Arabidopsis thaliana: one gene and its partner. The protein of the gene in region 1 interacts with the protein of each later gene in a pairwise test. Each region holds a gene or a part of one and is shown on either strand. Other genes may lie near its edges.

Region 1 (3,930 bases):
GGAGGCTAGTCAACTTATGGAAGTTAACTTGAATTGTAGAAACTGTGTCTGATATCCTGTTGAATTGTGAATACATGGTGACTCTGGCAAGCATCATAAAATCATCAAATGACAATCTTCTGTCTATGTCGCTTCAGCAAGAAGAATCTAATGTTGGCTTGCCTGGAGGAAACGGCCAGCTTTTAACTCTCGGGGTGGGTCTGTTGGTTACTGCATTGGCTGGAACATATGTGACAAGCCTTGCAAAGGTAAACTCATACTTGTTTACTTCTTTTCTTTCTCTGTTCTGCGTTATATTTGCCTCCCACTTCTGATATCAAACCAACTGGTTCAAAGCTTCGTAGCATATAAGCTCAGAAAAGTCCCACATTTGGTTGAAACTTAAAAGATGTAAAGTGAAATGAATCTGTCTCATGTATATCTTTTACTTGCCGTGTGTTGCAGGATGCTATAAAGGATATTGATGATGATGAGAAGAGAGATGCAAAGTAGGAAACAAGCCAGCGATTGGATAATGGTTTTGACTCTCTAGGATTTGTAAAACGCCAACAGAGTATCATGTATCAACGTTAAATGTATTGCTCCATTATTGTTAATAGTTGATATATAATTCGAATCTTTTTTGTCCTTCAAATTTAAGCACCAATAATAAGTGAGAAAATGCTTTCTAGACAAAAAAAAGGAAAATGAGCCTCAGAAAATCAAATGTACTCGATAAAGTGAGCCTCAGCACACATTACAGCCAAATTCCCACCAAGAACGTAATTGATGATAAACAAAAAAAGTTTGAGATTTTATTTGGCAAAAGAATATAGCAAAGTAAAAAAGCCTCATCTGAGAGAGACTTAACAACTCAGAATCAATCCACCATCAGATTCACTTAGGCGCAGTAGATTCCTTCAAGTAGGCGATGAGATCAGCACGGTCTTGCGGCTTCTTTAGCCCAGGGAACACCATCTTGGTACCTGGTATGTACTGCATCATATAAAAAGGCCATCAATCTCAATGTTAACAACAACAACTCATGAAACAATCATGACATGATTATACAAACCTTCTTGGGGTTGAGCAAGTAATCGTACAAGGCCTTCTCTTCCCATTCCACAGCTTTGTTCTTGTTAGCAGCAGAGTAAGAGTAACCAGCAGTTGTACCAGATTGTCTTCCAAATAGACCGTTTAGATTGGGTCCTATATTAAAACAACAAGGTCAAGTGTTGAGCAACAATGTGACGCAAATCACATTCTACAAAAGCTACGAAAACAATAGAAACCATTGAGCAACAGTGTTTTCTAATTTCACGCAATTTCAAGAAAAAATGAGAATCTGTGACGCAACTAGCTCAAATCATTGTTGTATCATTACTTAGAATTCGAGAATCAAGTTCCACAAAAATGCGAAAAGTTGTATATAAAAACCTCAGAAATTCGTCACATGCATTGAGCTGAAGATTTAAGGATAAACACGAGTAAGACATCGAGGTTATTGGATCAGATCTATGATCTAATCGAAGAATCCGTTAACCAGATCACATCAGAGATTTTTGATTAACATGAACAAATCGATTATAAAGCGATGTAAAACAAAGGCCCGATAAAAATTCAGATAAATTGCGAAAATCAACCATAGAAATAGAATTCAAGAGTGAGAGAGATCGATGAGTGAAAACCTTGTTTGTGACCGGCGCCTGCTTCGACGGTGTGACACTGAGCACACTTGGTCCTGAAGATCTTCTCACCGGCCTTGGCGTTTCCTGGTGGTGCTTCATCAAACGACGCCATTTTTTTCGCTTGAGCTACGCGATCAGGAACAACAAGAGAAAATGATTACGGAACTCTCGTTTCTCTGGAGCTTGCCGAAGTTTCCTTAGGGTTTCACTGTGGAAAAAGTGACCTCTCTTAAAAAAGCAGTATCTCCAATCTTAATGGGCCCTTAATGGGTTTAGGTGGGCTCATATTTATTTCATATATAATGCTGTTTATGCTTGTTACTCATACTTGCGAAGGACCATCCCCTAGTTCATGTAAACTTATGTTTACAGGAAATCATGCAATTAAAACTTGTTGTATATAAGATTTATGTACAAATTGATTCTCCAGTTTGATAAAATATTTCTATCAGAATTTGATTCTTTATCCTACTTCTACAAGACGTTCTTCATCTGAACTTTGCTCCTGATTGATGACAGAATCATCGTTCATCGGCTTATTATTCTCTCCATCTAACTCCGAATCTGTTTCCATCAAAGCAAACTCATGAGCCTTTTGCACGCCCAAGTCACTCAGTAAAGTCTTCACCGTTACAAGCTTGCTCCAAGAACCAGTTACTGCATACATATCTGCAAGCAACATATAGTGACCTAAGTGTTCTGGCTTTGTTTCTAGTAGTAACTTATCTGCAGCCCACTCCCCAATGTTTGTGTTCCCGTGGATGAGGCACGCTTTCAGTAGAGTAGCACACATAGCACTTGATGGCTCGTAAGGTATTGTATGGAATATATCTCTGGCTTTATCCAGGTAACCTGCTCTGCAATAAAGATCAACCATACAAGAATAGTGTTCAAGGCGAAGGCGTATACCAAACACATGCTCCATCTTCGTAAACAACCAGTGTCCTTCACGCACTAAATTGGAATGGCTGCAAGCTGATAAAACTGCAACCATAGTTACATGATCAGGTTTGATACCGGATCTGTCCATATCCTTGAACCATGCCAATGCGACTTCTCCTTTACCCAGCCTGCCATATCCATCGATCAAAGAAGTGTATGTCACTTTGTCCCTCTTCCTCATCGAATCAAATACTCGCTTTGCAGCTATGATTTCACCGGATTTTGCATACATATCGACAAGGGAGTTCCACAGGATTAAACAGTCCTTGTAGCTTTGGCGTCTCAGGATGTAGCAGTGAAACTCTTTCCCATGTTGCAGGTTTCCCACCCGAGCAAAAAGAGGGAGAATGCTAGCAAGCGTAATGTGATTTGGGTGAAATCCAGAGAGCAACATCTCCTTGAGCAGGAAAGAGGTTTCTTCTGATCTCTCGTTGTATGCAAAACCGGAAATGATAGAATTCCATGTACTCAAACTATTTGCTTCAACCTGCTGAAACACTATAAACGCGTGCCTAAGATCACTGCATCTTGAGTACATTGTGATCAACGAATTCCGAACATTGTCAATATCATGGGAAAAACTACAACTACGGATCACAAGGCAATGAAATACTTTCCCCCACTTTAACGCTCCAATGTGTGAGCATGCCTTTAAACCATTAATCATAGCTACAGAACCTATTCTTACATTGCAATTTCTCATCCCAACAACACAATTCAAAGCCCCTATGTAATTTCCTGCCTCCAAACAACCTCCAGCTATTGTGTTCCAAGTTACAATACTCGCTTCGACACCAGAGAGATACATTCTATCAAGAAGCTTAAAAGCTTCCCCTAACTTTTCTTCTGAAGTATAACAGTTGATTATTGCATTCCATGAGACAGCATCCCTTTCAGACATCCTGTCAAACAATCTCCGAGCAACATCCACTTTACCAAATCTTTTATACATAGATATCAACGCGTTGCAGACATACAAGTTACACCTGTGAGAGCTAACCTCAATAGAGCCATGAACAACTCTCCCATATGCAAAATCCAGTAATGCTGCACAAGCCTTGATAACAGACGGGTAAGTAAATTCATCCGCTCTAATTCCTTTACTCATCATTCGCTTGTAAACAGAAACAGACTCCTGAAACCTTTTGTTCCTAATATACGAACCGATGAGCACATTCCACGGCAAGGGATGCAAAATCTCAGAGTTCTCAGTAATGGTCTGAGCTTCGTCAAGGAGATTAAAAGCAGAGTAGAAAGTGACCAACTTTGGGACCAAAACAGAGTCAAACTCCAAACCCGACGAGATACAATGAGCATGAAG
Region 2 (5,161 bases), on another chromosome or scaffold:
ATAGTGTATCTCGTCCATTTTGCAGCTGTTGTGAGTTGCGTTGCATTTTTCCTATCATCTTGAAGAGACTTGGAGCCTCACAAAAATACTGTTGCTCTCCTTATTGCGCTAATGCAATGAGTGTGAATTAAGATGTCTAGCGAGTGGGGTTTCCTTAAAGATTTCCTGTAACCATTTCTTTCACAAGTTCATTTCCATTATAAGTTGATTTCCTTAATGTATTATTTATCTAAGAATCTTGCAATTTTAGTTTGATACGATCTTGCTGTTTCAAATGCTTTCTGACATTCGTTTTCTACAAAATTTCACCTTGAAAATGAACAACACAATACTATCAGTCTTGCATTATCATGATTGTCAGCTTTTCGCTTCTTTCTCAACGTATTGTATAGTCTGTTTCAGGATCATTAGAAATAGTAAGAAAGTAAACCATTGTTGCAAGAAATCTTGGCAATGGCGTCTTCAAACAATTGTTGTTTCAGATTACTAACATAAAAACAGGGACTTCAGTTTTTATTAGGAACAGAGTTCCGATGTCTGAGAACCAGGACAGATGTTTTCTGCATAATTCATTTACAGTTAAAAACACATCTTGATTGATTCAACATGAAACCAAACACAGACTCCATTCATTATTATTCGCAGAATCTAGAGACCGAAATGAAAATGTTTTATCAACATGTACACACGTTTTAAGGCAAGCCAAGATTTGTGTCTTTCTTTTGAAAAGAAAAAAAAAAGAAATTAGATCTAAGAAACTTGCAATTTTAATTTGATATGATCAGCTGTTTCAAACAATTATGCCTTGTCTTTGGAATGAAGGATCTTTACTTACGCCGTTGTATTGAACATAATGCCAACTACTGGTTATTGCGCTATGTAATGCATATGAATCAAGATGTCCAGAGAGTGGGCTTTTCTTTTAGATTTCTTGTACCATTTCTTTTACATGTTCATTTCCATTATAATAAGTTGATTTCCTTCATGTATTATTTATCTATGAATGTTGCAATTTTGACTTTGACGATCTAGCTGTTTCAAACGTTAATATGAATATTAATTCCAAGATCTAGTGAATTAAAAAATAATTGAGATATCCAGCTCATAAAAAAATAGTTCAGAGTTTAAAAATGGATCCGAATCCAATGTTTTTAGATTTCTTTCATTTTCATTTTTTATATAAATAGTGCTAATTGATACGACTAAAGAATTAAAAATTGACTATTTTAAACTAGTGGTTCATTTTAATAAAATAATACTAATGATTGATATTGTAAAACTATTTTTCCGTTTACTTTTAAATAAGGTTTTGTGCTAACTCATCCATTTTGCAACTTTATTTTCTACCTCCAATAAATGCAGATTATTTTTATGAAGTCTAAAATAATACAAAATATGATCTTTATATATATATATATATTGTAAACGTTTTTACGGTTATATACATTAGATTTTTAAAATTTTGAAGGTAAAGTTAAATTCTTCTTCGCGAAAGTTTTAATTTAACATATTATTATCGATATTTTACAAAATTGTTGGTAACAAAAAAAAAGGCAAAAGAGGGTTATAATGCATATTATTTTATATTGTTAATGATTAATCTGTATTTGATGGAGGTAGAGGTTGAAGTTGCAAAAATGGATGAGGTATAGTGGTTTTTGCACAAAACCCTTAAAATACTTTAAAGATAATAATTTATTTTTTTGTATATCTAAGTTAAGTAATTGTAAATAAATATTAAACATTGTAACTAAAAATAAATAAATAAACATAATAAATAGAATGAATCATTTACTTGAGAGTTAGAAGATACATCAAAATGATAATCATAGAAAAAAACACCAAAACGATTGTTTATAAAATTAATTCAGTTGATGTAAATTATTAATTATTATAACTAACAAAATGCATGAAAAAACCGGCACGGTGCGGGTTTTGGGCCTAATTATTTTTTATTGTTAATGAAAGACCAATAAAACCAAAAGTCTAATAAAAAAATAATTTTGTAAGGGCATCGTTGAGGATTTGAGATTAACGCAGAGAAGACTTTTGAGAGAGAAAGGAGCTTAGCTTTGAGATTTCAGATCCAATCTTCTTTTTCATAAGAGCATCGTTGAAATTAAAGAGAGAAGACTTTTGAGAGAGAGAGAGAAACGTGAAAGAAACTTAGCTTTGAGATTTCATATCCAACTTCTTCTTCTTCAAAATCTCTTAGTAAACGACCATGGATTCTAAGGGAGTGTTAATGCCGTTGATCCACGAGCATCTTATGATGCCTTGGAAAAATCTGAAAAGAGGTCCTTGCTGTGGTTGCTGTGGACGCTTTGAAGCTATCAGTGATGGATACTACTGCAAAACCTGCGATTTTTTCGTCCGAAAAAATTGTGCTGACGAGCCCTCCGAATATATCAAGCATCCATCTCACCCCAAGCACACTCTTCAGCTGCTAAGACCTGAAAGACCTACTAATTTCTGCAATTTGTGTGGAAGGATGTGCCCAATATTCTATCGTTGTGATCTATGTGACTTCGACATGGATTTATACTGCTCAAAGTATCCACCACCAGAGGTTATTGACATTTCCAAGACGCATCACCACAGGCTTACCCTTCTCAAGAAGTGGATCAAGCAATGTATATGTGCTAAATGTTGCAAGATTATTGGTAATGAGTTTCCTTACAATTGTCATGAATGTGATTTATCCTTTCATGTGGATTGCGTATGGTATCCGCCCGAACTAGAACTCCGTTTAGAGGTAAACCATTCTTACCACTCTTTACACCCTCTTAAACTCTACGCAAAGGGTCAGTTACCGGATTATTCTGATGGGAAATGTCGTCTTTGCGCAAGAAAGATTGATGAAACATTTTTTTTCCATTGTTCTCCGTGTAACTTTACCTTGGACAAGGTTTGTGTTTTGCGCCCACCACAACAATCTCTTCTGAATTTGAAAGCTCATGATCACCAACTCACCCTTCTCCCAAAACTCGATTCTTTTACATGCAATGCTTGCGGGCTGAAGGGAGATCGTAGCCCTTACGTATGTTTTCAATGTGGTTTCATGATCCATCAAGACTGTCTTGGCCTTCCACGCCTCATCAACATTAACCGGCATGATCACCGTGTTTCTCGAACTTCTGTTCTTGGTGTTGTGAATTCTGTATGTGGAGTTTGTCGCAAAAAGGTGGACTGGTCTTATGGAGGTTTTTCTTGTCAGAGGTGTCATGGCTATGTTGTTCATTCAAAATGTGCTACTAGAAAAGATGTGTGGAATGGGAAAGAACTTGAAGGATTACCCGAAGAAACAGAAGATATAGAGCCATATGTGGTGATAGATGAAAACACAATACAACATTTTAGTCACAAAGAGCATTACCTAAGACTCAACGTTAATGGTGTTCTATGTGATGACAACAAGCGGTGCAAGGCATGCACCCATCCCATCTGTCTCCAGTCTTTCTACGGCTGTATGGATTGTAACTTCATTCTCCACCAAAACTGCGCTGGATTTCTTAGAATGAAATGGCATGTGCTACACAATGAACGTCTTACGTTGGTTACAAACAAGGATGAAGGCTTTAGGTGTTATGCTTGTGATAGATTGTCCAATGGTTTCAAGTACCAGCATGGGAATAAGGCATTCGATGTTCGGTGCATTTCAATTTCTGAGCCACATATCCATCCAAGTCATCCTAATCATCCCTTATATTACTTTCCATCAGACGAAGTACAATGGTGCACTGGTTGCAACATGGAGCAGGACTTTGTGCTTAGTTGCATTGAAGATAATTGTGGATTTTTATTATGCTTTGGATGCGCCACTTTACCACAAATGGTAAAGCATAGAGTTCATGATCATCCTCTCTCACTATGCTATGGCGAAAAGGCAAGTGGTAAATATTGGTGTGACATTTGTGAAAAAGAAACAAATCCACATACATGGTTCTATACGTGTAAAGATCATCAGGCTAGTTTGCATACAAAGTGTGTGCTTGGAGACCTTTCAAGTCTCATGCGAAGAAGCACAATAAAAATTGAGGGCACTTCATATGAGGTGGTGCTCAATAATAGTATATCTCGTCCATTTTGCAGCTGGTGTAAGATGCATTGTATTTTTCCTATCATCTTGAAGACACTTGGAGCCACGAATGAATACTCCTGCTCTCTTGAATGTGCAGAGTGTAGATATACAGACCGTTAAAGCCCAAAATGAAGCAAGATGTTTAGCGAGTCGAGGTTTTTCTTGTAATGTTATTTTTTTTCTTTCTTACGAGTTCATTTCCTTTATAAGTTGATTTCCTTAATGTATTAAATATCTAAGAATTTTCTGGCACCAAACTCCATATACAATGTGTGTGTTGTAACATATATCATATGAGGTGGTGCTCAATAATAGTTTATCTCGTCCATTTTGCATCTGGTGTGAGTTGCGTTGCATTTTTCCTATCATCTTGAAGATACTTGGACCCTCGGATGTTTAGCGAGTAGGCTTTTCTTTTAGATTTCTTGTACCATTTCTTTTACAAATTCATTTCCATTCTAAGAAGTTGATTTAATGGTACTTATGGCATGTATTAGTTATCTAAGAATCTTGGAATTTTAATTTGATATGATCAGCTGTTTCAAACGTGTTATGCCTTGTCTTTGGAATGAAGGATCTTACTTACGCCGTTGTATAGAACATTCTGCCATGCTACTGGTTATGGAGGTACCATTGAACGCTAATGTTTCAGATGGGATGCCATAGAAATTCACCCAACTGATCAAAGAGAACTTCTTAACTCAAGAATGTTGTGTCATCATCATTCCCACCAGTACTAAGATTGACATTTTTTGAAGAGCAAACTATAACCATGATAGACATTCAAGAAGATTCCCTAAGCATAATGTCAATGTGCATTCTGTTTCAGATCATTAGTAATAAAGTAAACCCTTGTTGCAAGAAGTCTTGGGCAATGGCGTCTTCAAAGCATACACATGACTGTTTCTTTCAGATCATCTGGTATTCAGAAACTACAATGCTTTGAAGACGCCATTGTAGCAAGTTCTGTGTGTAGACGAAGTAGCACGTTGTCGTCCACGTAACCAATCCCTTCACCAGAAAACAAAACAAAAAGAAACAGAGTATTCATGTGTATGTTTTTGTTTGAATATGTCTGTA

The links.
Region 2: the proteins of CYTC-1 (region 1) and AT4G01920 interact in a two-hybrid assay, tested with the Arabidopsis thaliana proteins (one large-scale study listed by BioGRID).

The regions. Positions count from the first base shown.
Region 1 is NC_003070.9:8,077,233-8,081,162, reverse strand, and holds CYTC-1 (CYTOCHROME C-1), read right to left. Parts: upstream 1,877-3,930; 5' UTR 1,780-1,876; coding exon 1,668-1,779; intron 1,652-1,667; exon of another isoform or gene 1,189-1,651; coding exon 1,055-1,188; coding exon of another isoform or gene 1,051-1,054; intron 976-1,050; coding exon 877-975; 3' UTR 589-876; downstream 1-588. Other genes in the region: AT1G22850 (SNARE associated Golgi protein family), read left to right, coding at 138-248, 445-492; AT1G22830 (Tetratricopeptide repeat (TPR)-like superfamily protein), read right to left, coding at 2,131-3,930. UniProt on the Arabidopsis thaliana protein: Electron carrier protein. The oxidized form of the cytochrome c heme group can accept an electron from the heme group of the cytochrome c1 subunit of cytochrome reductase.
Region 2 is NC_003075.7:828,143-833,303, reverse strand, and holds AT4G01920 (Cysteine/Histidine-rich C1 domain family protein), read left to right. Parts: upstream 1-2,015; 5' UTR 2,016-2,224; coding exon 2,225-4,201; 3' UTR 4,202-4,478; downstream 4,479-5,161. Other genes in the region: AT4G01925 (Cysteine/Histidine-rich C1 domain family protein), read left to right, coding at 26-131; AT4G01915 (uncharacterized protein), read right to left, coding at 5,007-5,092.